Tamandua tetradactyla: one gene and its partners. The protein of the gene in region 1 purifies or fractionates together with the protein of each later gene. This does not show direct contact. Links are inferred from orthologs where the notes say so. Each region holds a gene or a part of one and is shown in the gene's direction. Other genes may lie near its edges. The genes, in order: EPB41L3, PNN, HSPA12A and NUMA1.

The links.
Region 2: the proteins of EPB41L3 (region 1) and PNN purify together in Homo sapiens (co-immunoprecipitation; 3 studies listed by BioGRID and IntAct, with this or other methods). This does not show direct contact. The link is inferred for Tamandua tetradactyla from reciprocal best matches to the Homo sapiens genes EPB41L3 and PNN.
Region 3: the proteins of EPB41L3 (region 1) and HSPA12A purify together in Homo sapiens (affinity purification with mass spectrometry; 4 studies listed by BioGRID and IntAct, with this or other methods). This does not show direct contact. The link is inferred for Tamandua tetradactyla from reciprocal best matches to the Homo sapiens genes EPB41L3 and HSPA12A.
Region 4: the proteins of EPB41L3 (region 1) and NUMA1 purify together in Homo sapiens (affinity purification with mass spectrometry; 3 studies listed by BioGRID and IntAct, with this or other methods). This does not show direct contact. The link is inferred for Tamandua tetradactyla from reciprocal best matches to the Homo sapiens genes EPB41L3 and NUMA1.

What each region holds. Positions count from the first base shown.
Region 1 is NC_135344.1:69,004,659-69,012,432, reverse strand, and holds the start of EPB41L3 (band 4.1-like protein 3), read left to right. Parts: upstream 1-4,759; 5' UTR 4,760-4,774; coding exon 4,775-5,119; intron 5,120-7,774. UniProt on the Homo sapiens protein: Tumor suppressor that inhibits cell proliferation and promotes apoptosis. Modulates the activity of protein arginine N-methyltransferases, including PRMT3 and PRMT5.
Region 2 is NC_135340.1:14,325,665-14,332,505, reverse strand, and holds the start of PNN (pinin), read left to right. Parts: upstream 1-3,830; 5' UTR 3,831-3,907; coding exon 3,908-4,020; intron 4,021-4,653; coding exon 4,654-4,725; intron 4,726-5,204; coding exon 5,205-5,273; intron 5,274-5,749; coding exon 5,750-5,822; intron 5,823-5,981; coding exon 5,982-6,076; intron 6,077-6,246; coding exon 6,247-6,322; intron 6,323-6,841. Other genes in the region: TRAPPC6B (trafficking protein particle complex subunit 6B), read right to left, coding at 3,585-3,731. UniProt on the Homo sapiens protein: Transcriptional activator binding to the E-box 1 core sequence of the E-cadherin promoter gene; the core-binding sequence is 5'CAGGTG-3'. Capable of reversing CTBP1-mediated transcription repression.
Region 3 is NC_135339.1:79,124,911-79,132,786, reverse strand, and holds the start of HSPA12A (heat shock 70 kDa protein 12A), read left to right. Parts: upstream 1-4,867; 5' UTR 4,868-4,911; coding exon of another isoform or gene 4,912-5,074; coding exon 5,075-5,077; coding exon of another isoform or gene 5,078-5,169; exon of another isoform or gene 5,170-5,484; intron 5,485-7,876. Other genes in the region: ENO4 (enolase 4), read right to left, coding at 289-417, 4,912-5,169. UniProt on the Homo sapiens protein: Adapter protein for SORL1, but not SORT1. Delays SORL1 internalization and affects SORL1 subcellular localization.
Region 4 is NC_135334.1:74,167,311-74,175,210, forward strand, and holds the start of NUMA1 (nuclear mitotic apparatus protein 1), read left to right. Parts: upstream 1-4,884; 5' UTR 4,885-4,997; intron 4,998-5,003; exon of another isoform or gene 5,004-5,135; intron 5,136-7,900. UniProt on the Homo sapiens protein: Microtubule (MT)-binding protein that plays a role in the formation and maintenance of the spindle poles and the alignement and the segregation of chromosomes during mitotic cell division.

The sequences.
Region 1 (7,774 bases):
AGACTGGGAAACCAACTCCTGTAGGGACAAGGCCTGTCTGGCCTGAACAACAGAAGCCACTCAGGGGATCTGTATTTATCTCTCTTGAGAAAGAGGATCTAGGCATTTGGATGACCACCATGGACAGAAATAGGGCTGTTTTAGTTTGCTAAAGTTGCTGGAATGCAATATACCAGAACTGGATTGGCTTTTAAAAAGGGGACTTATTAGATTATAAATTTACAGTTCTAAGGCCTTAAAAATGTCCAACTAAGCCAGACAGAGAAAGATACCTTGATCTGAAGAAAGGGTGAATGGCATCCAGGATTTCTCTGTCAGCTGGGAAGGCACATGGCTGGCACCTGAGATCCTCGCTCCTGGTTTGTTGCTTGCGCTTCTGATTCCAGTAGCTTCCTCTGTACGCATCTGTGGGGCCTCACTTAGCTTCTCCGGGACAAAACTCTGAGCTCTGGCTTGCTTAGCATTTCATGGGAAGGTACATGGCAACGTCTGCTGGGCTCCTCTCCTGACTTTTGGTTTCAAACGGTTCTCACAGATCCTATGCGTCCTTCTGCCATTTTCTTCTGCATCCCCAAATGTCTGCATCTGTGTCAGTTCTGAATTTTTATTTCTCCATGACTTCCCTTAAAGACTCCAGTAAACTAATTAAGGCCCATCTTGAATGGGCGGAGTCATGTCTTCATCTAATCAAAAAGTCACATGCACAATTGGGTGTGTGGCATCTCCATGGAAACAACCTAATCAAAAGGTTCTACCCTGAACCATAGATCTGCCCCTACAAGGTTGGTTTAGGATTAAAATAACATGGCTTTTCTGGGGTACTTAGATTCAAACTAGCAAGAGGACAAACCAGTGAAACATGTAGTGAGTCACTTTTCCCCTTCAAGCAAAGAGGATGTAATGGACTCGTCAGGGGTAGGATAGTAAGATTCTCCTCCCAGGGCATGTCCTACCACCAGTAGCATGAGCACTGGATAGAAAAATTCTACCAGTAACAAATATCAGAAGGATTAGGTGACCTTTAAGCCATCTTTAAACTGTGTTTACAATAATACCTACGTTTATTGATTGCTTCCTGTATGCTGGGTATTGTACCAATCACTGCAGATGCATTATCTTGGTTAATCCTCAATACAGCTTGTCAGGTAAGCACCTTTAGCTTCTCACAGGTGAACAAAATGAAACTTAAGTAATGTTTCCATGTGCAAACCACAAGCCTAGATGTTGGAGCCAGGACTCATTCTTGTGTTTGCCAACTCCAGAAGCCATTCCAGGACTCTTAGCTCCTGCACTTGACTGCCTCTAAATCCTAGCAATTCTCTTTTGACTCTTCCTTCAGAATCTTGGGCTGTACAGGGCTCCACACAGCATCTACTGATTTCCCCCAATGTCAACCGACCTGTCAATCACCCCTTCCAATATGTTCTCATCCTTTCTTCCACATAATGTTTTCTTATTTACGGGCACCCTTAAGCTCCTTCCCCAATGTTCAGAAAATGTATTTTCTTGAGGGAGAACTTCCCATCATGTCTATGCTAGGAACAGCGCTCCCAGAGAGAAACCCATCTTTCCCCTTTGTTTGTACCTCACCTGGCTGTCACACATCAAAAGTGTTTCTGATTTTCACCAGGCACTCCTCCAGTTTGAGTCAACCTGCACTCAAACCTGAACAAGCCCCACCTTCATTCTACTCATTGTTTCACCCAGTTCAGAGTCAAATAGCAATTCATTAAACAAGCACTTAACCTGAGGTATTAAAATATCTCTTGTGAATGTTTTCCCACTGCACTGCTACCCAAGTCTTCTCGAGTTTAAAGAAGGACAAGGTGTAGCTTGTCTCTGCTGAGAGCTTTGAAAATAAGCACTGGCTGCAGGGAAAAAGCTTGCTATTATCTCCCAAAGTGGTCCCAAGATTTTAGGTTGTCATAAAACAGAATCTTTGCCTTAAAATATAAAAGTTGAATGTAGAATGCAGAATTATCTTATGACCCAGCAAAACTACTTCTTGGTATATAGCCAAAAGACTTGTACAGATGCTCTGCATACCAATGTTTATAGCTGAAGTATTCACAAGAGCCAAAAGGTGGAAGCAACCCGTGTCTGTCAAGAGATGAATGGATAAACAAAATGTGGTACATACACACAATGGAATATCATTCAGCCATAAAGAGGAATGAAGTTTGGAGACAGGCTACAAAATGGATGAAACTTGAGGACAGCATGTTGAGTGAAATAAGCCAGACACAGAAAAGACAAATATTGTATGTCCTTGCTTATATGAAATACCTAGAAGGAGCAAATTTCATAGGGAAGGATAGTAGATTACAGGTTCCTGGGGTTGTGGAAAGGGAGGGGAGTTGTTGCTTAATCAGTGCAGAGTTTCTGTTTGAGGTGCTGAAAAAGTTGGGGCAATGGATATTGGCGATGGCAGCACAATATTGTGAATATAATTAATGCCACTGAATTGTACACTGGAAAGTATTAAAAATGGGCAATACTGAGTGGTGCATATGTTATTACAATGAAAAGTTCAACAACAGGAAGCCAGTGCTATAAGGGAGTATTCCAGGCTATTAGCATCAGTTTGCAGGGAGCCACTCCTTGGCTGGTGTCACTGTCCCCGGAAGGCCTTGTGATAAGCCATCTTCAGGCTTCCTTTAGTAAAGCCTGCTTCCCTCCTGCCTCAGCCTCACCTGCACAGGAGTCTACAAAACACTGCTGGACATGAGCATGTCACACATACAGTCTCAGAACATGCCATTTCCCTAATGGCCTATAAAATGTGCTATTTGCGCAGTTAAGTTTTAAATGTTACTAGACTAATAGGAACTTGGCAATGAATCCCGCTCACAAAGACGCGCCCCGGAGTCAGGTGCTACTGATTGATTGGATAGCTTTACAGATTTGTGCTTTTTAGACTTTTATCATTTTTCTCCTCCCGAGGACTAAAGCAAGTCAGTTTTCCCGAAGCACGAATTCAAGAGCCATCAAAAGGAAGCATGAATGAAGCGCCAGCCTGGGCAGGTTGCGTGAACACCTGTCCCGGTCTTTAGGACGGATGGGGAAAGGAAATGAAAGGTTAATGTTCTCTTTGTTTAGTTATAAGGCCAAAGAACGCTATAGAGCACAGGCCTAGTTCTACCCACCAAACTGCAGTTTTTCTCTTCTGGACCCTGAAGGCCACAGGTTCCAGCAAGCACGTGCCGGGCTCATGCATGGGGGGCCCGTAAGCGCCAGTGGTGGGAGCTTTGCAGGTCCTGGAACCCGAGGTCCCTTCCAGGCAGCGGCACAGGCTGGGTGAGAAAGGCCGGGGGAGTCAGGAACTTCTCTTCGCCTTTTTAGCGCTTCGGGTGAAGTTGGGGGAAGCTTAAACCAAATTAAAGCCCAGACCACTTTCGGCCTACTCCACATCCCTGGAGTCTGTGCTGCTGTGATTTCAACTCTTTGCAGACTGAGGTAATTTAATCCCAGCAAAAGGAGCCACGTTACCAGATTTCCTTAAGGGACACGTAGGGGTGTTCGTATGTTCCCTCCTTCCTCCAGTCTCCAAACCACCACACTATATTTGCATGCGTGTCTGCGTGTGTTTCCTGCTGCAGGCATAGGCCGGAGGACCCCAAGACCCCGCTGGATGGAAGCCCTCGGAAGCCTGGAAGCAGCTTTCCCTGCCAGGGCGCTGGGCGCGGAGGGCGGGCCGGGGCGGGGCCGCCGTGGGCCGCGGCAGCCAACCGGCAGAAGGGGGCGGGCCGGGGCGGGGCGGTGCGGGCTGTCACAGGCGCCCGACGCGCGCTGCAGGTGGGAACTTGGAGGTACCGCGCCGCCGCGGGAGCAGTCGGCGTCCGGCGGCCCCTTCCAGCCTCCCGGAGCCCTCTCCTGCCGCAGGACCCGAGACTGGAGCCGGGAGAAGCCTAAAGGAAGAGCCGCTGGCCCCGGGCCCCGTGGACAGCCCTGCTTCTCTCTGCCCTTGCATTACTTTGTTTCTTCGGGAGAGGTTGTGCCGGAAGGCCAGGAACCCGCTCGGGAAGGCGCAGGAGAGGACGGCGCCAGGCCACTCAGGTGAGCGCTCTCCTTCCTGGTGTCCCATCCCGCTGTGCAGGCCGGGCGCGGCTGCTTGCCCGAGACAGGAGCTGGGGCGCGGGCGCCTGCCCTTGGCTCGAGGTCGTCGGGGGACAGAGCCGGGATGGCGCGAGGCGGGCGCGGCCAGGACTCCCGGGCAGACGCCCGGAGAAGGGATCGGCCAGGAGGTGTTGTGGAGATGGTCGCAGGCAGTGCGTCTTTGGCGGCCGCTGGACAGGCTTGTTCTGGTGCGCGCGGTGGCGGAGATGCAGCGGGAACCCTGCACCGCGCCTCTCCGCGAACCCCCCGCGGGCAGGGCGAGCGCCTGGAGATTCGCCGAAGGACGTCATCCCTCCTCTGCTCCGCAGCTCCTCCTCCGTCCCGCTCGCCTCCATCCCTTGCGCCCGCCGCTAGGTCGACTCGGAGAGGCCGGTACATTTGCAGATTCGCGGGGGTCTGCTGCTCCCATAACCCGCCCGCGGGGGGCTGGACTTGGCGCGCTTCGGCGGGAGCCCAGGGCCGGGCAACCTAGTTTGCGCGCCGGAGGCGAGGCTGCTCGCTGCTTCTGTGCGCCTTCCGCGGCGCGCGCAGAGGTGTAGGGGCGCACTAGAGCCCTCGCTCTTTAGTGCTCCCCCTGTTCTCCATCCCCGGCCCGCCAGCCTAAACCCGTGGCGGACGAAGCGGTATCTCACAAGGCAGCCTTTGCTCGCCCTGGAGGATGGGGGTGGCGGGCTCCTGGTATGGTGCGAGCCTTGGAGGAGAGGCAGAGCCTCCCCCTCCATTTCTGCACCTCAGCCCCTGCCTTGAAGCGCACAGTGTCTCTGACCTCGGCATTCCGGGCCGCGGCGGGGGCGCTGCTGGGAGCGAGCGCAGGTCCGTGTGGGTGTGCGGGTGGGCGTGTTGTGCTCCCCGGGAGGCCCAGGCGTACAAGCCGCTTTCTCTACCCCTCGCCAGCTGCGCACAGCGGCTTCTCCAGCAACTCCCGCCCTGCTGGTTCTCCTCCCAGCTCCAGCACCTAAGCCCCTCCACGGAGCGGTCCCAGGATACGTGGCCGGAGGGTGCGGTAGGGGAATTGAGGCGCCACTCCCCCCCCCCCGCCCCAAGGCAAATGCGGCGATTTTTCAAAATCCAGGGGAGCGCCCCTCTCTGGGCATTTCCACTTCCCTCCCCACGGCAAGTAGTGGCCTCCGGTGGAGGCTGGCGAAGGCAGCCCGTTATCCGGAGGCGAGCGGCCAGCAGTTCGGGACGTGGAAGTTGGGGCAGCTGAACCTCCAATGTCCCATTGGCGCTGTTTGCTTGCGAAGCGGAGGGGCCTGGGGTTGGCGGCCCGCTCGGGAGAAGGGGGCGGGGGGGGGGGCGCTGTGCGCGGGAGCTGGGCGCGCCTGGGGCGGGAGCTGCGGGATCCCTGGCCTCCGGGCACAGTGTCTGGCGCTGCGGTTCTACTCTGGGAGGTACCGAGTCCCACGGGAAGTTGCAGTGTGGGTGGGCGCCGCTTGGTCCCCTCTGGAGCGCGGCCGCTGCGGATTCGGACGCGGCGGCTCTGCGGAGGTTGGATAGCTGCCCTCCCCGCAGACCGCCGCTTTCGCTTTTCCTCCTGTAGAAGTGCAGCGGCCGCTGGAGGCTGGCGGGCGGCCTCTGAGCCCGGAAAGCCCGTGGTGCCGGCGCGAAATCCTCTCCGGAGGGAGAGGCCGGTTTCCAGAGAGAGGCGAGAAGTGGAAACCCGGGGTCGGCGGTTAGCGTAGTCGCGGGAGGCGGGGTGAGCGCGGAGGATCCCCCAGGGCATGGCTAACCTGGGCCTGGGCGCTGCTCTTCCTAGGGAACCGGAGTTAGAAGCCCCATTACTCAAGGCTGATGGACAACTCAGGTTTAATTCCCCAGGAAATGCATTGACTTAAGACTGGGACGGCAGAAGGCTGAAATCCACGAAATGAATGAAAGTAGAATGACTGTAAATCCCAAATATAATTTCAGTTTAAGTCTAAATTCCACCTGATTAGAAACAGGCTAATGTGGGAGAGCAGCGTCTGGGTGTGGATGCCTTATTGCATTTCTCAAGACAGTTACTTTCAAGGCAGGCTTTGCTCCGCCTTCCCCCAGCCCGGAACTGTGCTGAGTGGCGGTGGGAGGTGGAGGTGCGGCTGGGAATGCACGGATCTCTACACACAGTTCAGAACGCTGAAGGCTTCAAGTTCAGATGGTTTGGGAATGACCTTGTGGGCCTTTTCTCCTCCTTCCCTTATCTGCCCTAGGCTGGGCCAGTTACAGTTCAGACATAAGTGACTGCCAGTTTCCAAAGAGGAGTTTTCAGTAGGCTTCTTAGAACATGTAGTAACCTTGGGAAAACATTCTCTGTTCTGAGGAGCACAACTTCAGCCGATCAGATTGAAATTTTATACCTAGGCTATGAACCTCAATCCCGATAAAAGTTTCCTTCTAGAGGATTTGAGGGCAGGGCTGCTCTGATTTCCTTCTTTTATTTCCAGGGCCTGACACATAGTGTGTGCTCCGTATGTATTTAAAGACAGATGCTGGTCATTTATAACACTGACCTGGAAAGGCATTTAGTAATTTCTAGGACCAGTCGTTATTAAAATAAGCATGTTAAACTAATAGTCATTGTGAGGACTTGCTTGCATTGTTTAGTTGTATATATTTTAAAACTTTTTGGGATTGATTAACTCACTTTAAATAAGAGGGCACTGAAGATATTAAGAAATGTGGAAATAAATGATGAGTTTCATGGTTGAAGTCCCTCTATAAAAGCCTATCATTGAATACCTCTAGAAATGGGGTTCTCACTACCTTCAGAAGTATTCTATTTCATTTAAATAAATTCGTTATTAAACACGGATGAACATGGCATCGTCTCTGTTCACATGAAACTCATATTCTAGTTGGGTGACCAAAGGGACAATTTTGCTAAAGGTGTTCTCGTATAGATGACGTGAGAAAGTTCAGGGACCTTGCTGAACTGAGCCCATGCTTTGAGCGGCAGCAGCAAGGGAGTCCTGTGGTTTGGATGCTGAAGGAGGAGCAGAAGTTCTCTAAGACCCTGTAAACAAACAAAGAAGAAGATCTCTGGAGGCCTACTTTCTTCTGTCTCCTAAGCTATTATACCTAGCCTTCTCTCTCTTCTACATACCCGCCTTCTTGTATTGAAGAACATTCTCCATGCTCCTCTATTTCTGCTCTCTTTGAGGACAACCTCAGATTCTTCATCTTCAAATACCCACTCACCTCAAAATACAGAGGGTTGGCGTGCTTCCTCTGGGCAAAAGAAGCAAAACCGAAAGCAGAGGAAGATTTTTGTAGGATTTTAAGTCAAGGAGTTTTATCTGTGAATGGTTTATTAAAAAGAGAAGGAGAGTTAGATGAGTCACAGTCCACTCTGGGCAGCTACTTCCTCATCTGTAAGTGCAATAATAATTCTCACCCACCACACTGTGAGAATTAATTTATGACTTCAGAGTTCTCTGAAATGCCTGGAAGGAAAGTGTGACACTTAACACATGGAGTATAGACTTCTCTGATTCAGAATTGGTTAGCCAAAATAGCAAGAAAGAGAGTTAGTAAGACTTTAAAATGGAGAGCTGGTCAGGAGGCTAGAAAAGTTAATGTATTGAACCATAATCTTCACAGTAAAGATGGAGAAATAGATATAACTATTAAAACAGTTAATGATTTGTCATAATGCTAGGGAGTAGATGATATAGCAATA
Region 2 (6,841 bases), on another chromosome or scaffold:
CCCTGTTCCGCGGATTTGTATACACCAGACACCATCTCGTTATGGAGAAGCAAAAACAACGCCTCGTCCGCCATTTCCTCCTTATTCTTCAAAGCTCCGGGTTTCTGATCCTTTCTGGGTCCAGCCGGTCGTCCGGTTCGCCTCGGAGCGAGTCGGCCAGCGCCGTTGAGCCCCCGCCGCAGCCCAGCCTTCCGTCGCTAGGAGACCGAGGAGCTCACGCCCCTTCGCGAGGGCAAGTTCAGCCTGGACCCAGGGCGAGGGCCAGCCCAGCCCGGGGCCACCAAGCCCTGGGGCCGGACGAGTGTCCGACGGCGGAGACCACCAAACCCGTCCGGCAGAGCCCAGCGCCAGCCCCGGGACGGGGGGCGAAGAAACAACTTCCGGTCTCCTCTACCCCGGCGGTCCGCCAGCTCTATGGTACCGAGTTCCTTCAGCACGGCCCACTGGCCGCGTGGAATGGGAAGAGTCCACCTCCGCGGCACGTGGGCCGGGTTGGGGGAGGTGACGCTCGCTGTAATCACTATATTAATTCACTATGAAAGAATTGATAAGAATTTCTATTAGTTTCATCAAAAAAGCTGCTTTTACTGCCATATGTTTCTCAGTATGAAAAGAGCGACCAAATCATCAATTTTAGACTGTACAATTTTAAATAGAGATACTGAGAAGCTATCCCAATCCACATTGGATGAAGCCCAGGTATGCAAAAATATTTAGGGCCATTTTGGCCACCAGGAAGTTCATTTTTACTGGTAGAAGAGTGTAAGGGGCAGGGGTGGAGGGTAGGGGTAGAGTAAGAAAAGAACAAGATATACTTGAACCAGAAAATACAAACTAATCATAGGAATAGGTGCTACCGAAAACTGCTGAAGAATTGAGAAGTGATATCATTGCAGGATGGAGTTCATAAAGAATCTATGGAGGATGTGGGACTTAAATCCTACAGAGGTTCAAATACATGTGCTAGATCATATTTACAACTCAAATTTGTTAAACTCTGGCTTTAAAATGTTCTGTAGTGTTTTGTTTTGCAAGCTACCAAAAAGTGATACACTAAACATGGAACAGCTTTTTTTTTTAACAGCTTTTAAAAAGTGGAATTTAAATTGCAAGTTTACAGTTCTAAGCCTATGAAAATGTTCAAACTAAGGCATCCAGAGAAAGATACCTTAATTGAAGAAAGGCCAATGCATCTGGAACACCACCATCAGCTGGGAAGGCACATTGGTCCCTTCCTCCTGGGCTCCCTTGCTTTCAGCCTCTGTTCCTGTGGGAGTTCCTCACTTTGTTTCTCTGGGGCTGGCTTTCATCTCTTGACTTCCCTTGGCTCTCTCCAGGTTCTGGCTTGCTTCACATCTCATGGCGACATCTGTTAGGCTGTAAGACTCTCTAAACATGGTGTCTCTGTTCTCCAAGTGTCGGCATCTGTCAGTTCTGCTCTGAAGTTTCTTAGTGGCTTTCTCTCTGTAGGATCTCTCCAAAATGTTTCTTTTTAAAGGATTCCAGTAAACTAATCAGGACCCACCTGAAATGTGTCGAGTTACATCTCCATCTAATCAAAAGTCACACCCACAATTGGACATCTCATATCTCTATAGAGGTCATCTGTTTTAGTTTGCTAGCTGCTGGAACGCAATATACCAGAAATGGAACGGCTTTTAACAAGGGGAATTTAATGAGTTGCTAGTTTACAGTTCTAAGGCCGAGAAAATGCCCCAATTAAAACAAGTTCATAGAAATGTCCAATCTAAGGCATCCAGGGAAAGATACCTTGGTTCAAGAAGGCTGATGAAGTTCAGGGTCTCTCTCTCAAGTGAGAAGGCACATGGCAAACACAGTCAGGGCTTCTCTCTCGGCTGGAAGGGCACATGGTGAACATGGCATCATCTGCTAGCTTCCTCTCCTGGCTTCTGGTTTCATGAAGCTCCCCGGGAGGCGTCTTCCTTCTTCATCTCCAAAGGTCGCTGGCTGGTGGACTCTCTGCTTTCTAGTGTTGCTCTCTCTGAATCTCTCATTCTCCAAAATATTTCCTCTTTTATAGGACTCCAATAAACCAATCAAAAACCACTCAAATGGGTGGAGACATGTCGCCCCTTAATCCAGTTTAACAACCACTCTTAACTAAATCACATCACCCAGAGAGATGACCTGATTACAGTTTCAAACATACAGTATTGAATAGGGATTATTCTACCTTTATGAAATGGGATTTATATTAAAACATGGCTTTTCTTAGGGGGCATACTGCCTTTCAAACCAGCACAGTCATCTAAACAAAATTTCCAACCTATATTATTGGAAGGATGAAAAGAAACAGCTGCCCCCACAAGATTGAATCAGGATTAAAACATGGCTTTTCTGGGGTAGTAATATCTTCACACCAGCCCAGAGACTAAATATGCTTGCAATTAGAATTTTTAAATTATTTGTAATCTCCATCCCTTTTTACCAAGCTCTACTTTTCCTTTTTTTCTTATGTAGCATTACTTTCTTTTTAATATACTAGATATTCTACTTATGTTTATTGTTTGTCTTCACACTTTTCTGGCCCTCCCATCTCCATGAGGGCAGAGATCTTTACAGCACACTGATATACCCAAGTGCCTAGAACCTACCAGGTGCATAGCAGGTGCTCAACAAATATTTGTTGAACGAAGGAATGAACTATTATTGATGGAACTTTTCTCCCTTTGGCGCCTACAAATTCTATGAAGCATGATCCCCAGGCTAGCTTACTATTAACACCCAATAGGAGCTTAAAAAGGATGGTTAGACTAAAGTGCCTTGAAAATTGAAAGTTTGAGGGAAAATGAAACATTAGTGGCAGCCTGAGTTGAATACACTTGGTGCGCTAATGCATTATTCGGAGAAGATGCCTCGCTAGCAGATGGAGAACCCCACGATCATTCACAACATTGTTTCTGTGAGAAAATATTTTCTGAGATATCAAAAGAATTCCTGTAGATACTTCTGGGCCAAAACCGATTCTCAGTTCAAGTACAGGAGAACCAGAAGTAGGATGATCACACCCACACCCGTCAAGAGGGCCGTTTTTCCCCAGAGCCAGCCTTAAATCAACCAGCGCTAGGCCAGGGATAGAGGCTTAAGGCAAAGAAAAACCTGCCTCGTCTGTCTCATCGTTGTGTTTCCCTTTTGGTATACTCCCGCCCAGGCTCTGAGCCGAATGTAATTCTCGGTTGAAGTGACAGGGACAGTTACATCATCTCCAGTTCCATACTTTCCTTATCAGTAATAACCATTTCACCCAATTTTTTATTTCTAAGGAATAAGACATGTAAGGCGTTTCAAACAGAGTGAAAAACAAGGCCAGTCCATAATAACCGCTAGCTAGTAAGATGAATGACGTTTCCTATCTCTTCGTGTCTGACTGCTCCGGGCTCGCTTTAACCTAATCAAGGGAAGCACGCGCCTCCGCCCCCTCTCTGGGCATGCGCACCAACAAAATGGCCACGCCCACCCCTAATGGAATCTAGCGAAAAGGGAGGAAGGGAAATAGACGCGTCTCCACCCCACACTGATGTGATTAAGTGATTAAAACGATGTAGGGTATATAAACAGCACACCTTAAAGCGGCTGGAAAACTGCGCGCTCTTTGCCAGGTCCTCGAGCCCAGACCCCAGAACGCTTCCAAACCCACAGCTCTGCGCCGAGAGAATCCGGGGACCCCCGGCTAGAGAGGCACAGAGGCGATCGCCCGGCAGGTTTCTCATTGGCCCAGAGTCACAAAGGCCTCAGCTTCTCTTCTCCCGGCCGCTGATTGGTTTAGGCCGAAAAACAACGCCTTTCGCTATTGGCTGGACGCAGCTGTCGCTCTCTCGGCGTCTCGCGGCGCGGCCCAGCCCGGCGCGGCCTGTGGAGCAGTCTTGAAGCCTGCAGCAGGGAGAAGATGGCGGTCGCAGTGAGAACTTTGCAGGAGCAGCTAGAAAAGGCCAAGGAGAGCCTAAAGAACGTGGACGAGAATATTCGCAAGCTCACCGGGCGGGATCCGAATGACGTGAGGTGAGAGCCGGACGCAAACTGCAGGTTCTGAGCGGGAGCCACAGCGCCGGGGTAAAGTGGGGGCGGGGAGGGCGGCCGGCCCGAGAAGACTGGAACCCCCAGGCCTGGACCTCGGGCGGCGGTAAAACTCCGTCTTCGGTGAGGTGGGCAGTCTCCGGGTCCCCACCTTAAGGCCATGGACTCAGGGGCATGAGAAGAAGACAGGCCTGGGTTTGTCGGGACGACTTTCCCGCCTGTGGGAAGGCCGTGACTGCGGATTCCCGCCCGTGGCCCCGCAGGCCCGGGACTGCAGCACAAAGCCCCCTCTCCTCCCGGCGGCCACCGTGCAACCACTGGCTCTAAGACTCCTAGAACGCGTTTCGGCCTCAGTGCCCGGAGGTTCTAGTCCACGTGCGGTTTCTTCGCGGTTCGCAGAATTAGGTGAAAATAACTAGGTCCAGGGGAAAAAGAAGTTCACCTAAAACAGTACTTCCGTGTTCTGTACCAAGCACGTGGATTTGAACCCCTCCTTTTAGAGCGACACCATTTATCCCTTTATGATAAATTTATCCCATTTATCCCCCCTGAAAGTGTTTGGTGCCATTAGAAGGGTCTACAGAATGATTTTTAAATTGAGTTTTGATTCTCTTACAGGCCCATCCAAGCCAGATTGCTGGCCCTTTCTGGTCCTGGTGGAGGTAGAGGACGTGGTAGTTTATTGCTGAGGTGAGGTTTCCTTTCAACTTAACTCGTGTATTAAGACTGTTGGCATTTTTATACTAAATTAACGTGGTATTGGTTTAAACAAAATTTGTGATAGAGCTAATGTTGAAATGTTTTGTTTAAACCTATGATTAGCTGTAGTTTTCTGTTTAGATCTGGCTGTCCTGAAACTTATAATTTATTTGCAAGCAAAACTCCAGATTGAAGAATTTATCATTTCCTATCTCCTTTTTTTTAAACCCCAACGTAGCAGATCTTCTAGAAGTTAAATATATTTCCACACTTGATTTTTGAAGAATTACAACCTATTTTATAACTTCTGATTATGGTTAAAAAATGCCATAGAACCATTTTGGAGTGTATGCCCATTTAAAGGTTACTTTAGTGGGAAAGCTTTTTGTGTTGTTTTTAGTCAACTAAATTCTTTTGCCAACTGAGAAGAAAAATTTTAAGTGCTTTCTCTTGGACGTTTTCATTTGCAGGCGTGGATTCTCAGATAGTGGAGGAGGACCCCCAGCCAAACAGAGAGACCTTGAAGGGGCAGTCAGTAGGTATGTTGGAGAGAAGATGTCTGAAAGAGTACTTCTTTCCCCTTTATTTTCTCAATTAGCACTTTACAAATGCTGAATTGAGTTGTATTAGAGTTAGGTTGATACCACTTTCTTTGAGCCCCTTTGGTATTCTCCTGAACTGAGACAGACAGTATCCCTGAAAACTCAACTCTTTAGTGATAGCAACACAAACGTTGCTAAAAGTCATGAAAGATATAGTCAATTTCTAATCCTTTTTCTGTTTGTACTACAAAAATTAACCAGCCTGAGAAATAATTTAGATATTAAAGGAGGTTGAAGGTTGGTTTGAACATTAATGGCATTTTTTCCCTTTACTTTTGGAGGAAAGAGTAAAATGAGATGGAGACTGATAGAATGAGGCTTCTGAAATGAATCCTAGGAAAGGGGTATTTACCCTTGATATGTGTTTAAATCAAATTCCACGGTCGTCATTTAAATTATTTTTCCCATGACAGGCTGGGCGGGGAGCGTCGGACGAGGAGAGAATCACGCCAAGAAAGCGACGCAGAGGATGATGATATTAAAAAGGTAGTGACATGAGAACTTGTTAGAGGATGAGTATAGTATTTTCATCTTCACTACATTTGAGATGTAGTGAGCATATTAACTTAATAAATAAATAAGTTACTTAACGTACTAACTTACAGATGCTAGTTAAATTACTGAAAAATTTTTTTTCTCCCACAGCCAGCGTTGCAGTCTTCGGTTGTAGCTACCTCCAAAGAGCGTACACGTAGAGACCTTATCCAGGATCAAAATATGGATGAAAAGGGAAAGCAAAGGTATCTTTAGTACTCTTGGAGGAAGAATTTTCTGTTAGATTATAATAGCCATGCAATTCAAAGAAAAATTCAGGGGTTTTTCAAATGCCCGTAGTATATTTTGTAAAATGATAAGTTTAAATGAAGTGAATCCTATTTAAATTGACTTTTGTGTTTGTTTCTTTTTCAAGAAATCGACGAATATTTGGCTTGTTGATGGGCACCCTTCAGAAATTTAAACAAGAATCCACTGTTGCTACTGAGCGGGTATTTATGCTTTGTTTCACTTATCTGTTATTTGAGTTGTTGAAGTTGTCAGTTGCATGTTTTTTAAAAGCTTACAAGCTCTTTTTATACTTCATTGCCAACCTGATAGAAAGCCAAGGAAAAACTTATGGAACTTTCTGAAGCTGTTCCATTAACTGGTCTTTCATTGAGGTGCTGTGAAGTAATCAGTGAACTTCTCTTTGTAGTACAAAGACTCCTGCTCTGTGACTCATGAAAACCCAGGTTCCAGTATAAGCCCTTTAACAACCTTACTGTATGACCTTGGAACCCTGGACAAATCTCTATTTAGGTTTTCTCTCAAGGGATTAAAACTCCATGATCCTTCCAACTGGTTCAGTTATTCTAATTTTTTAAGAGTTGCTTACACGTTTGGTTTAAGTTTTAACATGTTAATTTTGGTAGAGAATATGATGCTGCTATATAAAGTTGGTTGTTTTCCAGAGTAATGGAGAGAACAAATGACTAGTTTACCAGTTTGAATTGTCAAATTCTTTGATT
Region 3 (7,876 bases), on another chromosome or scaffold:
CTGTTTTCCTCATTTCCTTTCTCCATCTTGGGTCATTGCAGGTAGCTTGGCACATTTGTACTGGAGTTACATTTAGAGACAGAAAAAGCCAGCAGGGCTGATGGTATGACTCATGTTTTATATATATGACTAGCAATGAATAGTATTTATAAATATTTCACAAATGCTGAATTTCAAAACATTAAGATAATTTTTTATGGTTTAGACAAGAGTTACTAATCAATGCTGTGGGGGGAGGGAGGGAGGCGGCCAGGACATACTGAAGAAGGCACTTAAGCTGTCTCATACCTTGGCAAAATTTTGAATGGTGCAGAATATTTCCACTTGCAGTGTCGGAAGCCCCAGTCCATCCAGGACGTTTTTCCCCACTACTCTGCATATGGTGGGAGGCTTTGCAAGTTTAGAAAAGCAGTTTGCCTTCAACACAAAGCACAAAAATCACAACAGCACCTCTAATTTATCTTTAAAAGGTCATTCGTATTTACTCTTTTTAGTTTCTACTAAATTCTCCCTGAAGGTCATTTCTGGTGCCAGGATTAGACTAATAGCTCTGTGGGACCTACCCTTCCCCAAAGTGCTGAGATTTGAATCAGCCTGATGCCAAGTCTCTAGTACATGTTGTTTTACGAACTCTCAGAAGAAATATACATACATTTATTTAAGGCCCTGTGTTACCATTTAGCAACCCTTCTTAGAGTCAACTCAACTCACTAACGTACCTTTGTCGGTTTGAAATGTTGTGCACCCTAGAAAAGCCGTGTTCTTTCATCCTCATTAAATATTGTTGGGTGGGATCTTTTTAAAGTTGTTTCCATGGAGATGGGACTCACCCAATTGTGGGTGGGACCTTTTGATTAGGTGATTTCCATGGAGATGTATCTCCACCATTCAAGGTGAGCTCCTTACTGGAGGCCTTTCAGATGGAACCATTTTGGAAGTAGTGTTAGAGCCCACACAGCCAGAGACCTTTTGGGGATGCAGAAGGATAATGCCCCATGGAAGCCTTATGAAATGAAAATCTGGGAGAGAAAGCTAGCAGACATTGCCGACTGCCTTCCCAGCTGACAGAGGTATACCAGATGGCATCAACCTTTTTTGAGTGAAGGTAACCTCTTATTGGTGCCTTAATTTGGACATTTTCACAGCCTTAGAACTGTAAACTTGTAACGTAATAAATTCTATTTATAAAAGCCATTCCATTTCTGGTATATTGCATTCTGGCAGCTTTAGCAAACCAAACCTCTATCCCTCTGTCCAAGAGATAGTAATTAACTGGTCTCTAGAACACTATGGTGTATTCGAACCTAAGAAGTCTGAAGTGGGCCAATCGTTATTGATATTGCAATAATATTTACTGATTTGATTCTTTAAATATGTAATCTAATGATTTACCGATATTGTCAAGGTGAAGTCATATGCAGCAGCTGTAACTCACTTACCACCAGTCTGTGTATGATCCTACATGCTCAAAGAGGATTATTGGGAACCTCAGTAATAGCAGTTTCATTGATGTGGAAAAGTAGAAGCCATTTAGAAGTGATCAAAGGGAGAGAATGAAGAAAGAGAATGAAGTTGAGGTAGAAAGTTCACTCAGGGAGTTAGAGGAGCTAGGAGAGAACAGGAGAAGGAAAAGTGAAGACAACCCCCCTTGCCCTCTTCATTACTATATAGTATTGAGCTCTTTGTTTCACTTAGCAGACATCTGATCTTTCAGTTCAAAATCCAACTTCAGGGCGGGCCGCGGTGGCTCAGCGGGCAAGAGTGCTTGCCTGCCATGCCGGAGGACCCCGGTTCGATTCCCGGCCCCAGCCCATGTAAAAAAAAAAAAAAAAAACAAACAAACAAAATATAATAAAAACAAGAAAATGTTTAAAGATGTTTCCCTTTCTTCCTCCCTTCCTTCCTTCCATCCTTCCTTCCTTCTCTGTCTTTCCTTCCCTTCCTCCCTCTAAAAAAAAAAAAAAAAAATCCAACTTCAGTTTAGGTAACAGGTACTCTCACACTCAGCAATGTGCCAGCTCAGAGGTGGTACCCCAACAGAATTAAGGCAAAAGCCAATTTTCAAGCCATTTATGCATTTTAGGGATGGTGATTTGTATATTACAGCAATGTGCCAGCTCAGAGGTGGTACCCCAACAAAATTAAAGCAAAAGGCAATTTTCAAGCCACCTATGCATTTTAGGGATGGTGGTTTGTATATTATAGTGCTCAGTGCATAAATAAATTTGGATGGAATCAGAAGCAACAAAAATATTACCTAGCTTATACTCAGTGTATTATAGTGAGTTCGATTCAACAAGTACCAGGCCCCTTCAGTGTGCCAGATATTGCGTCATAAGAGGAAAGGAACCAACAGTTTTTGGGTGTGTCCAGTGGCAATCTTAGATGGCTAGAACAGCTGGGGCTGACTGGGTATCTTTCTCCCATCCTGGAAGTATCAGATCTTCTGGAGCCTCTCTCTACATGATCTCTCTTTCCAGCAGGGTAAACAGGCTTCCACACAGCATGATGACTAGCTTCCAAGAGGAAGTGTTCCAAGAGGATGAGCATTTATTAAGCCTCTGTTTGCATTATGCTTGCCAAGGTCCTATTGATCAAAGCAAGTCTCATGGCCAAGTTGAGTCCATGTGGGCACGACTTGCATAAGAGTGTTCAGACTGGAGAGAGGGCTCATTGGGAACCATCAAGGTACACAGCTAATAAGTGTCAGAGCCAAGAATCAAATCTCCATCTGCTTGATTCCCTAGTTAAAAACTTTTTCAATCATAAGTTGAACGACGAAGGAATAAACAATACTGCTGTTGACTACAGGGGTCATCCCCATCCCTGAATTCCTTTAATACATAAGAGAAGCAGAGAGGAAAAGGTATTTGAGTCAAATGTTGGAGGATTTACAATATTTCAAGGGCAGACTAGGGGAGAAGTCAAGGGCAAATACTTTAGGTAGAGCGGGACAGGATAAGCTAACAGGATGGAAGTGGGAAACTTTGGCTTTGTGGGGAATAATAAGTGATGCAATGTGGAAGTGGTGAGGGATAAGCCTGTTGTCAGAGTAGGGACCCAGTACTCGAATCACACATGTGAAGCTGTTGGAGCTCACTAAGCGGTCAAAGGGAAAGCACAAGAAGGTTCTCATCCAGAGATGATGGTCAGGCTGGAGTATTAGGAACATGCTCTGGGAACACTGTGCAGGATGGACTCCGTAGAGGGAGACAAGGTGAAAAAAAGGATTGCTAAAACTCAGACTGTGATTATGAAGATGAAAAGGTGAGTGTTTTCCCCTGTGCTTTTGTCCAATTCCTGTATATCTCCAAAGTACAAGCCCAAACTATCCTGGATACCAAAACCTACAGGGATCTTCCCCCTCCAGGAATTCCTTTAATAGGTATAGTAATCTCTCTCCCAATCTAGCATGCAATCATATATCACCTTATCTTTTTCTCCAATTATTTTATCTATCAGTGGCTTTTCTCCCCAACCAAGGTTCCTAGAGAGCTATACAGACCACTGTCTCAGCTGCCCTGACAGACTTGGAAGAGCATTACACTGGGAAACCAGAAACCAAATTTTCTAGCCTTAGCTTTTGTGCTCAATAGTTGTGGGACTGGCCAATTACTTTGGACTTGGTGTCTTTATAAAATGAGGAAGTTAGATTAGATAACTTGCAAGAATTTCTCTAACATGAGATACTGGGAAGAATGGAATTCAGAGTTAGGCGTTCATTTCACGAACAGTTCTGAGCGCCCACCAGATAAATCATTCACTTTGCTATGTACTAGGGTCGCAGACCTTGTTTGGTTTCTGCTTCCATCACTCACTGTGTCCCTTGCACAAATCATTTAAATTCACTGAGCCACAGCTTCTTTATTTGTAAAACAGGATTCACAATTTTCATATCATGGGGTGGTTCTAAGGATTAAGTGGCATAACATAAGCAGCACAGCACAAGGGGCTTAGTAAACATCTCATCACTCCCTGCCCCCAAACATACAACCTCGATGTATAGGCCATAACAAGAAGAAACGATCATTGCAGGGGCATCCTCTATAACAACTGCCTTAACAAGATGTTGGCTTTGAACGCTTACAGCACATCGTGCCTCTTCATGGCACTTAAACACTCAGCTTGATTTTGTAATATTATCTCCTTGCTTTCCCTCATCACAGTGCAAACTCCTACCAGTCCCAAGCACACCGCCTTCCAGATGGCAGGTGTTGTGAAAACACCTACGGATCTGGACTTGAAAAAACACCTTTGTTTCCACTGCTCATTGCTAAAGACTAAATAAGTTATGTGCCAGATAGCGAGCTGGGCACAGGGACTAAGGAGGTGATAAGGAAAGGGCCCAGCCCTTAAAAGGAACTCACATGCTAGCTAGTGAGGCAGGCTCGAAGCATTACAATACACGCAGAAACTGCTACAGGAACATTTAAGAACGATGGAGTGGGGAAGGCTTTGATCTGAATCTTGGAGCTTAGACAGGAGCTGGTAAGGTGGGACGGGCATCCAGGCAGAGTAGGGCGCACATGGCAAGGAGTTGAGACCTGAAATCGGACTGAAACCCGCATGCACCAGGAGTTGGCAAGACATTAGGTCCCAGGCCAAGCTGGAACAAATGCCAGCGCGCTGGCCTTCACCCCCTAGGCAAAAGCAGGGTGGTAGGACCTCCTTCCCTTCTGGTGCTTTCTTCCCACTACTTTCTCTCACGAACATCCTCCTTCCCCTCTCCAGACCCCCACCCTCCGCCAAGATAAGTGCCTCGTCTCTCAGCTAACCGGCAACCCGTAGCTCTCCAACCCCGCGGTGGCAGGGTACGCATGCGCGACTGCGCAGCGCAGGCGCACCGAGTTGCCGCAGCGCGGGACGGGGGGCGGGGTTGGAGGGAAGAGGATGCCCGCCCCAGGTCCCTACCAGGTGTCCGTAGACGTCGGCAGGCTGGAGGTAGAAGGTGGAGTTGAGCATCTCTTCCAGCCTGCGCGGAACGTCGTTCTGCTGGTAGTACTCCATCGCCTGCTGCTTCAGCTTCTGCAGCTCCCTAGTGGTCCCACAGCTGCGGCCGCCGCCTTCTTCCCCCATGGTAGGAGATTTAAGGCTACAGAGGGGGTTAGACTGGGGCCCGCGAGCGTCCTTCCTGTCGCTAGGCAACGCCACGAGAGGCTGCCTCCACATCTCGCGAGGCTTCCAGCACTAAATTACTCCTGCGGCTGGAGCTTCGCCCCTCTTCCCAGGGTAGCTAATGGCTTCTCCGACTTGTCCCTCCCCTGTCCCTGAGGGATTGGGGCTCCCACCTTTCGGGAGAACAGCGCTCTCCCAGCTTGATTTTTCACCACATTTCCCGACGATTTTGCAGATGGGGAAACATCTGTCTGCTGAAGTGCTTTTTCGGTTTCGGAGCGCTTCCTCGGCCCTCAGCTGGGTGGCGACTCGCCCCCTCGCGGAGCCCTAGCGGCGGGAGCTCCGGCTTCCAGCTGGGCACGCGGACCTCGGGGAGCGCGCAGGGTTCCCCGTGGCCTGGAACTCGGCCGTCCCCCCTTCCCTTGTTCATCGCGGTTGGAGAGCTCCCCCGGATGCGACGGCGGTCCAGAGCTCAGGGTGTCCTTACTAAGCTGTGGAGGCCCCAGGGATTCATTCATTCAGCCAGTTTTGGTCAACTACCTGCTCCGAACCAAACACGGTGCTAGGCTGGGTATACTGTGATGTCCAGGGGAGAAAAGTCTGCGCTCCCTTCCCTGGGAGATTCGTGGGCGTGAAATGAAGGAAAACCAGTGTGGTCCGAAAATACTTGGGGCGAACCTTAAGAGGTGGTTAGGGTATGAACAGGCCTAGAGGTGGGGGATGGAGGACTATCATAGGGTTGTATTCCCTCTCAACCTTCAGAGGCTGCTTGTGCCCTTCCTTTTAAAATCCAAAATGTCCTGCTTGATTTCACTACACTTGCCAGGTGTTCTGTGTAATTATAGAACTTAATACTGTGTGCGCTCTGCCCTAGACACTCTACTGCAAGAATAGGCCGAGATGGGCAGGATGTTATTGTTCTTATCTTAGCTGTGTGTGTTTCTGACATAAGCAGATCACTTAATCTATGCATCACTGTGCTCATCTGGAAAACATCTTACTCACTCTCCCTGCTTCAGAAGTCATTTAAGATAAAAGGAAGTGAGTGAAAGAACTTTGGAAAGTTAATTTCCGATGCATGTATGGATATGGCTATAAGTATATTTCCATTCCATTTTTGTGCCTTTCCTCAATCCGGCTGGGTGGATGAAGGTGAACACCCACCTTGTAGTGCCTGGGCTGAGTCCCACATCTTCAAAGAAGCCATGCTCTACCCCCAGCCAGTCTTTCCTTTCCTCTGAACTCCTTTCCCACTTGGAAAATGGGTCGCAAAATTCAGTCCTCAGGGATATGTTGAATCATCTGACATTTTAGTGGAAGATTGAAAGTATCCTGGGCTGGGACCACCATATTTCTATAACCCCTTGGCCTCTAAGCTCCATAAGGGCAGGGACTTGGTCTGTCTTGTCCACCACTGCATCCCCAGTACGTTACCTGGCAGAAGAGCTATTCAATAAATATTTGTTGAATGAATGAATAGGTTTTGCCTATAACATGCTCAGTAATTATTTGACTTACAACAAAATGTTTTGACGTTGAGTAAATGATGAATGTGTTCACCATTCTGGCTGGAACAAAGGATTTATTTGCTTTTCAGAAATAGTTTAGAATAAGGATGGAAAAGTAGCCTGAGGCTAGACTGTGAAAGGGTTTGAATATCATTCTGTAAGAGTCAGAAGCAACCACAAATAGCTGAATATAGGATGGTGTCTTAGTTTGCCAGGGCTGCCAATGACTGATACCACAGACAAATTGGCCTAAATGACAGGGATTTATTGTCTCACGGTTTTGGAGGCTGGAAGTTCAAAATCGAGGTGTTGGCAGCATGTGCTTATTCATGTCTGTACTGTTCTGATGGAAGCTTACCGGCAAGTCCTAACTCTGCCTCTGTCAGTTGCTATCTCTCTGCTGATGTATCTCCTACTTCCTTGTTCAAATTTCCTCTGCTTATAAGGACCCTAAGCATACTAGATTAAGGTCTACCCAGATTTAATTTGGCCCTTTCTTAATAGGATATTTGAAGATATTGCTTATAATGGAATTCCCATCCGTTAGACTGAGGTTTAGGACTCGAGCATATTTCTGTGGGGAACATGATTCAATCCATAACAGATGGGCCAGGTGGAAGTACTGTTTTAGGAAGTAGATTGGTAGCAGTAGGTAGGATTGATCAGGGTGGTAGTATAGCAAAAGCAGAAGATCCAGGTAGGAAATAATAAAGAAGGAAAGACCAAACTATAATGGGAAGAGAAGGATGAGAGGAATAATAGGGAGGATGGAAAGGGCTTTGAGTAACTGGTTGTGGGGTTAGGGAACCAAAGATGGCTGAAGAGGATGAATGTAGACATCTGTCAAGTTGACAGAAATAGGATAAATGAGTTATTTGGTTTTGATAGAGGGAATCTGATTCATTTGGTTTCAGATGTGTGGCGTTTGAAGTGCATTGGTATCACAGGGAAAAGGGAAGGGCAAAGAAACAAAAGACATACACGAAGTGTTTTAAAGTTGAATCCTCTGGAGGGAAAAGTTGAACTAAGAACCTGAATTTGGGGGAAGGATTATATTTAGGACATAGGAGTGGAGCAAGAAGATATAACAGGACAAAAACAAAAAGGGTTAGAGAAAAAGGAAGAAAATCTGAGTCATGGAGGCTGGGGCAGAGGGTTTGGGGAAGGTCAGCGTGTGTTTTATATAGACGTGGATTAAATAAAGTCTCAAAGGGCAGATATCAGCAGGTTAATTATGTTGTCTTTGGGTAATG
Region 4 (7,900 bases), on another chromosome or scaffold:
TTTCATATACCAAAATCTACAGGAAGACAACACATTATTCTTTTGTGGAATTAGAGAATAGTGTATGTTCTCACCAGACAAACCCACCCTGTTTCAGCATCAATATCAGATTTGATGCCTTTGAGCAGGGTTGGATACTTTTCTTGAAGTAAGCACTTTCTGCCCTTGGCTTTGGGTAGATCCTTGGTTGGGACCCCAGAATTCTACAATACTGGCCATGGATTTTAGCTGTAAATATTTAAGGCCAGATTTTTACTGGTTAGCTGCCTTGACATCAGAGCTTCTCATACAGTTCCTAAGCACTTCTGATTTGTGCAGCACTGCATCTTGTGTATTTTTCTGGTGAGGTAGCATTAAAAATGGAGTCCACTCTCAAAAGGTTTATTCATTAACAAATACATTCCCAATTCGTAGCACTCAGTTTGGCAGATAAAATGCAGGCAATAAATACTTATTGTATGAATATTTTAAAAAAGGAGTCCCAAGTAGTTGAATAAATTTGCCAGATGGAAAGGGTTATTATTTTTGTTCATATAAACAGTAGCTTTTGAGCTAGTATCATGCCCTCTTCATAATCTAACACAATCTGGCTTACAGCAAGCACCCAGGAAGTGTTTATAGGATGAATGAATGAGAAATTGCCAAATCAAGGATTTCTGTTTTGGTTGAGTTGATCTAGGCTGCTCTTTCTAACAACTGGCTCCCAGGTTCAGCTGTTTTAGTCCATACCTCATTCACAGTAACAGCCTCAGTTCAATTCTGTCAACATTTGAATGCCTGCTGCCCTATGTCTGACCAGAAGGAATGAAGCCAAGAAACAAATAATAAAACCCTGTCCATCACAAGCACAGAGAGACCTGCTGGAATCCTATCGATTGTGACATACTGGCCTGCACCCAGTTCCAAGTAACAGCTGCCCACTTAATGAATACTCATGTTCCAATTCTTAGTTCTAGTGTACCCTCTTCTATAAAGCCTTTATTTTCCAGATGGAAATAATCATTGTGCACTGCTTTAGACTGGTTGCATTAATGATCCCTAATCAGTTTTCCCCTGTATCCAGCCCCTTGCCCCATGACTTTGTAGTTCATCTGATACTTCAATCAGCCATGTTACCTGTACTGGCCAATGGGGCACTGACAAACATGAAGCACCAGAAAATTTAAAAGGGGCTTGCCCTCTTGAGCTTTGCCTGTGTCATGAGAACATGGCTGGCTTGATGGAGAGATATGAGCTGTAGAAGAGAGCCAGTGATCACAGTTGAGTTCATCCTAGACTAGATATAGGCAGCCTGTCCTCAGTCAAGATCAGGAGGGTCATCCAACCCACAGATAACTACAGACACATGACTGAGCCCAGCCAAGAGTAGAACCACCTAGCTGATTCAGAAACTTTGAAGTACTAATAAATGCATATTTTTTAAGCCACTATGTTTTGGGGAGGTTTGTTATAGCAAGAACTAACTGAAATCCCTCACTGTATTTTGAAAAAAATTGTATAACAATGTTTCCTCATCTATAATTGGAGACAAACCCTATCCTGAGAGCTGTTTTATGTCCTGCAGCAGGTGCTCAATATATGTAAGTAGTTGCTCTGCACTTATTTCTTTATAACCTATTTCCCATTCCTTCCCTGTACCTTGAGGACAGGGGCAGACAGACCTCTTTCCCCGACCCTGCACTGAGTCTTGCAATGAATGGGTATTTCATAAATGCTTTAAGGACAAATGGCAAAATAAAAGAATAAATGAATGGTATCTTCAGGGTGACCGCTGGGAAGAACCTCTGAAGCCTTGATGCTCTCTCCTGTGGCTGTTTTTTGGAGTCAGCCCTTCCCAGCTGCTATGCTGGTATTCTGCCCAGATCCTAACACCTTCCTCATCTGATCAGGCTGACCTGATGAATGACAGGGTTAACAGCATACCTGCCTTGTGATTTGGAATTGGACTTTTTCTTTTTCAAACTGGAAATATTTTAAACTTTTTTTAAGTATAAAAAATCAATATGATAACAATAAAGTTGAATAACATAGAGAAATACATCAAGTAGAAACAGAGTCTGGATCTCCAGCTCACTCTCCTAGGGCAAATACTGTTAATAGTTTGAGAGCACAACCTCCTGGAATACATATATAAACAGGATTATGTATATTTTTACACAGGCACATACATACTCTCTATTTCTTTGTAAACCTATTTTTTTAATCTTTAAGTTGTTGTAGACTCTCTTACTCCTTTTAATAGCTGAAGAGTATTCTATAGTATGCATGTGTCATACTTTTACTTAATTGAGCTGTACTCAACCCCAAACCAATGCAAATTTGTTTTCAGTTTTTGAAAAGTACGACTGGAATTTGATTTCTTGATAGCCAGTTTTTGCCCTCTCTGACAAGTAACAATATGATAGCACAGGAAGATTTGAGGAATAATCCACATCCTCAGGGGATCTGATGATTCAACTGCCTGGCTTAGAGAGGTTTCTGTTTTATGGGCCAAAGGTGGAAGAAACATCAAAGCATGTCATGAAAAGTCTGCCACCTAAACTAATGTATTCTGGGAGGCTACATTCCCAGGTACCCTAGGGAGGCCCAAGATTGCACCAGGCTCTGGCCCACCTCTCCATTTCTCTCTGTTTGAGAGTATATATAAAATTTTATCTTCACTTCCAATTCTGCAGTCTGGCCAAATATAACTACTTGCAGTAAGTTCTCTGAACCTACCTGCACATACAGCTTCCTCTGCTTGTAATAGTTTCCTCTTTCCCCCTTTCACCTTGCTAATTCGTACTTTAAGACTCAGCTCTGGTGTCACCTTTTCTGAGAAGCCTACCCTTATTCCCAAATCTGGATGCGGAACTACTCTTCTAGGCTTTCACAGCACCCTATACTTATTGCCATGGTAGCACTCATAACACTGTATTATAGTTATCAGTTTATTATCTGTATGTCAGTAAAATCTATCAGGGGAAGAACCATGTTTTTCTCATGGCTGTATCCCAGCAGTGGTGATAAGTCGTAGGGGTATAACAAATCAAAAGTTCCAACAGTGAATAGTACTATAATGAAGAGGAACATGATGATGCTATAATTTAGGATGTGACCTAGTGTGAGCAGTCAGGGAACACTCCAGAAGAAGGGATGATTGAGAGAAATCTGGAAGATAAGTACAAATTAACTGTACAGGGTAAAGATGAGCATTTTAAGCAAAAGTGACAGTATGTGCAAAGGCTGAGAGGTTATTTGGAAATTTAAATTTAAAGTAGGCCATATAACTGGAAAGGAGAGAGAAGGGTACATATTGTTAATCTGGAGGCTGGAGAGGTGGGCAAGAACTAGGTTGAGATGTTGCTTTATGGTATGTGCAATAGGAAGCCACAAAGTATATTTTAAAATGGGGATGGGGTGAGGTGGGGGGAGTAAACAAGATCAGATTTGCATTTTTAAGGATTACTCTGACTACAATATGCAAAATAGCTGGGAGGTTAGGGGAAGGACTAGATAGCAGGGCCCGGTAGAGGCCAGTTAATCATGACAGCATCAGACATAGGTGTTGTGTTAGCCAGACCGTTTGTTTCTTGTTTAGTTTACTTAAATCTATTCAATTGCCAGTGTCTTCAGTCTCTCTAATACCCTTTCCCCATTTTAACATTCGGGGAAAGATTTGAAACTTATTCAGGCTGAGTGTAAATAACCCAGTGCAGGCCATACAGGTTCCTTCTCATTGGGGCAGTTTAATCTATGCCTTGGAACAAGTCCTTAAGCTATAGAGGTAGTAGGCACAGCTAAAGAGACTTGGCTGGAGTCTGAGAACTAAGTATAGTCTTAGTTCTGTTACTGAGTTTGTATGTGGCCTTGGGCAAGTCACTACTCCTCCCTGGGTTTCAGTTTTCTAATCTGTAAAATGGGGATGAATACCCTAACTCACAGAGCTGTTATGAGTATTGAAAGAGAGACTGAATGGGAAAGTGCTGGGTAAGTTACTAAGTATAATAGATCTATCTGAGGGCTGTAAAAGAAGGAATGAAGCTCTAACTGTAGAGCTTTGATAAGCAGACAATGGAGGAGGTGGAGGAAGAGGAGGTAACCTGGGGGCAGTGGGTGATTCCTATTGACCCTCTGAGAAGGAGGATCTGGAAGAGGCAGAAAGGGGGATATTTCAAGTCTCACAAGGGCTCCAGAATTAGGGACCGTGATTTACTCCTATGTCTTGAAAAAGTCTCAGGTCCTCAGAGGAAAACAAACCCATGTCTGAGGGTGTTTCAGATCTTCTAGGGTGTGTCAGGACTTAAAGCATCCGTAGCAGGGGGCCCTATGTTTGTTGTGGGGTAGGGTCTCAGGCACCCCCAGATTTGTACAGGTATGTATCTCAGCGCCCTTCCCTCCTCACCTCCCAACCCAACGTGTGTTCTATCATGGTCAATGAGAAAGGGGATTAGGATTGGGTGTGTCTTAGGTCTCCTAGTATTTCTGCGTTGCCCCCTCTCCTCTCCACTGCACTGCTGTCCCCTGGAGCAGATTCCCTGTTTTCCATCCGACTCACCCGCAGACGCTTCCCTACAGCCTCGGACCGCCAATACCTCCGGGTTACACAGCGCAACTCCATGGTAACCGCTTTCGCCACCACGTCCCGGCTGGACGCCGGAAGCGCTGCCGCGATGCCTACCGGGACCTGTAGTTCTTTCTGGCACAAGTCAGAGGCGGGGCTCCAAGGTCGCGAAATGTGCTGGGATTTGTAGTTGCCTTTGGTCTGAAGTGTAGGTCGGGATCCGGAAGTTGTGACACTCCTTCTTCCTTCCCAGAGGTCCTCACGTACACTTCCTTTTTCCGGGTCCTCAAGCTGCTTTAGCATACGACAACAGTCAACAGGGGCCAATCAGAGGGCGGCGTGAGGAGGGCGGGGCCATAGTTTAAACTAATTGTGCGCTCACAGCGCTGGCGCGAGCTCGCAGAGAGGTGCTTTCCGGGGCCAAGCCCGAGGCGGAGCGGGAACGCGCAGCCAGGTAACCCGCGCGGGCGCGGCTGGCGTCCGGCCTGGGCACCCTCAGGGATGCCCAGACCTAAAGAGATTGCAGAGGCCGGTGCGAGTGGGAGGCCTCTTTCATAACCGTGTCTGAAAGGGGAGAACAATCGAGAGTAAGGTTTGTGGGGGCGTTGGGTGAGGGGCATGTCCTAAGGGAGGAGCCGAGGGTGCTTTAGGTGCGGTGGGTCTGTTTGGGGGCGTGTCTGTGGAATCCTGTCTGAGGACAACCGGGATGGAGAATGGGCCAGGTTCTTGAAAGGTTTGTAACCGAGGTTACTGTAACGTGAAGTCTTCGACTATTATTGTTAACAATAGTAGCTGTAGTAGTAGCAGCTGCAGCAAATATTTTCCGAGCACCAACTAGGTTTCAGGCACTGTGAAAAGGCACCCTTTTATATGGAGTATCTTTTTAATCTTCCTATCCTTATTATACTTACTATTCTCGTTTTACAGATGGAAAATCTGAAGTTTATAATGTTTAACTTGGCCAGAGTCACATAGCTGGTTGGTGGTTGACTGTACTTAGAGTTTTGGGAGGTTGGGCAGAATCGAGGACGGGTGAAAGGACACTGAGGATGCGGCTTGTCTTGGATGAGTCACTTATTTTTGTTCTTTGGTCCTTATTTTGGTTTCATATATGTAAACAATGATCTTATCTGATTTACCTATTTCATAAGGGTCAAATCAGATAAGGTATTTCGTGAAGGTACTTTGTATGCTACAAGGTGACTGTAAGTAATGTAAGTGTATGAAGATTGTGGGTGAGAGTCCAACTGAGTTGATTCTGCTCTCCTAGGTTCCTTCTGTTGCTTAGTCCTGAGGTAGCACCTGTCACCTGGTATTCTAAGAGTCTCTGTGTGTTTGCCTGTCTTTCTAGATGAGAAACAGTGTCTTTTGTCTTTGTATCCTAATGCCCATACAGGATCTGAGACATATTATGGCCATTAATTTATTCTTTGGAATGAATGAGTTTCCTTGTGCTGGCTTTCCTTTCTTCATTTAATGACTTTTGACCCTCAATAGTAAGTTATCTATTTGCTTGGAAAGGCGTTGCTTCTTAAAACAATATGTATTTGCTTTGCTCTATGCTTCCCTCTCTCTGTCCTCTGTTCCTGGTCCTGTGTTTCTACAAGTGGGTTACTCTCTGGGGTGGGGCAGAATCCTTTGATGTTAAGGGAGTTCAGGTTCCCTACCTTGGGGAGATCTTTCCTGCTTTGAATATATGGGAAACCTGGGGTGAACAGTCAGATCAAGTAGGTGTATGTGTTTTCTCCCTCTCTGTTCCTGTGTGGTATTGTCTCCTTTGAGTGGAAGGAGCATATACTTCTTTGTAAAAGCTTCCAAAGTACTTTTAGCTCAATTTCAGGCAAATAATGACTAATTTCAGTGCCTCAATCTTATGGTCAGAAGCTGTACTCCCCAAAAGCTGGGAGATCTCACCTGAGAGCTCATATGAAAAACATTTCTGTTTAGAGTGTTCCTTTTTATTTGTGAAATAGGGGAGCTGGAAGAATGCATTGAATTAAGGCTTGGGTTCTAGAACTGTTGGGATGGGGGCAAAGCCCTACTTCAGATGGCTGAAGAGAGCTGATCTGACGCTGTGTCTGATAAAACCCTATGGTCAGAAGGCCATTTAATTAAGCCTCTTACCCACTGTACACTCAGCAAACCAAGTGGTGTTTTCCAGGCTCACAGTGAAGACTTCCAAGAATAAAGCGACCATTCCAGAGGGTAGTCCATTTCAATGTTGAACAATTCTAATTAATAATTGTTTTGCACGGTCACTAAAATGATTATTTAATTTTATCACGTTTACTGTTTGTTTTTCACCATTCTTTGTTACACTTTATTCCTTCCTTTTGTGTTGAATAGTTGTTTTTTTCCAATAGGATTCTGTTCATGGTAAACACTGTCTTTGTCTGAAAATGTCTTTATTTTATCATCAGTCTGAATGATAGTTTATCTGGGTACTGAGTTTCTAATTATTTTCTCTTAGCACCTTGAAAATATTATTTCATAAAATTCTTTTTGTTGTGGTTGTTCTTGAGAACTACACTCTCAATTTAATCAGTATTTTTTCTGGTTGCTTTTTTTTTGGAGGTGGTGGTACATGGTTTGGAATCGAACCCAGGTCTCCTGCATGAAAGGCAGCCATCTAACTAATGAGCTACCCATACACCCTTTCTGGTTGCTTTTAAGATCCTCTTTTTCATTTTTGTTCTGCAGTTTCATTACATGGTGTGGATTTAAGTTTATTTATTTACTGGGGGCATGTAGTGATTCCTCAGTCTGTGATTTCATATCTTTTACCAATTTTGTAAAAATTCCTTGTCATTACCTCTTTAAGTAGTGCTGCTCATGGATCTCATATTTAACTTCTCATTCTGCCTTCCACATGTTTTTTTTTGTTGTTGTTGTTGTTGTTGGCATTTAAAAAGGGGAATTTAGTAAGTTGCTAGTTTGCAGTTCTAAGCCAAGAAAATGTCCCAGTTAAAGCAAGGCTATAAAAATGTCCAGTGTAAGGTGTTAGGGGAAGATACCTTGGTTCAAGAAGGCTGATGACTTTCATTGTTTCTCTCTCAATTGGGAAGGCACATGGCCAACGTGGCAACAGTCTGCTGGCTTTCTCTCCCAACTTCTTATTTCATGAGGCTCCCCCAGGAGCACTCTCCTTCATCTCCAGAGGTCACTGGCTGGTGGATTCTGTCTCTCTTGGACTCTCGTGGCTTTCTCTGTTGTCGTTCTGTCCTCATTCTCTGCTCTCTCAGAATCTCAAGCCTTTTCCAAAAATGCTTCCTCCTCTAAAGGACTTCAGTAAAGTAATCAAGACCCATCTGGAATGGGTGGAGATCTGTCTCCACCCAATCAAGTTTAATACCCACA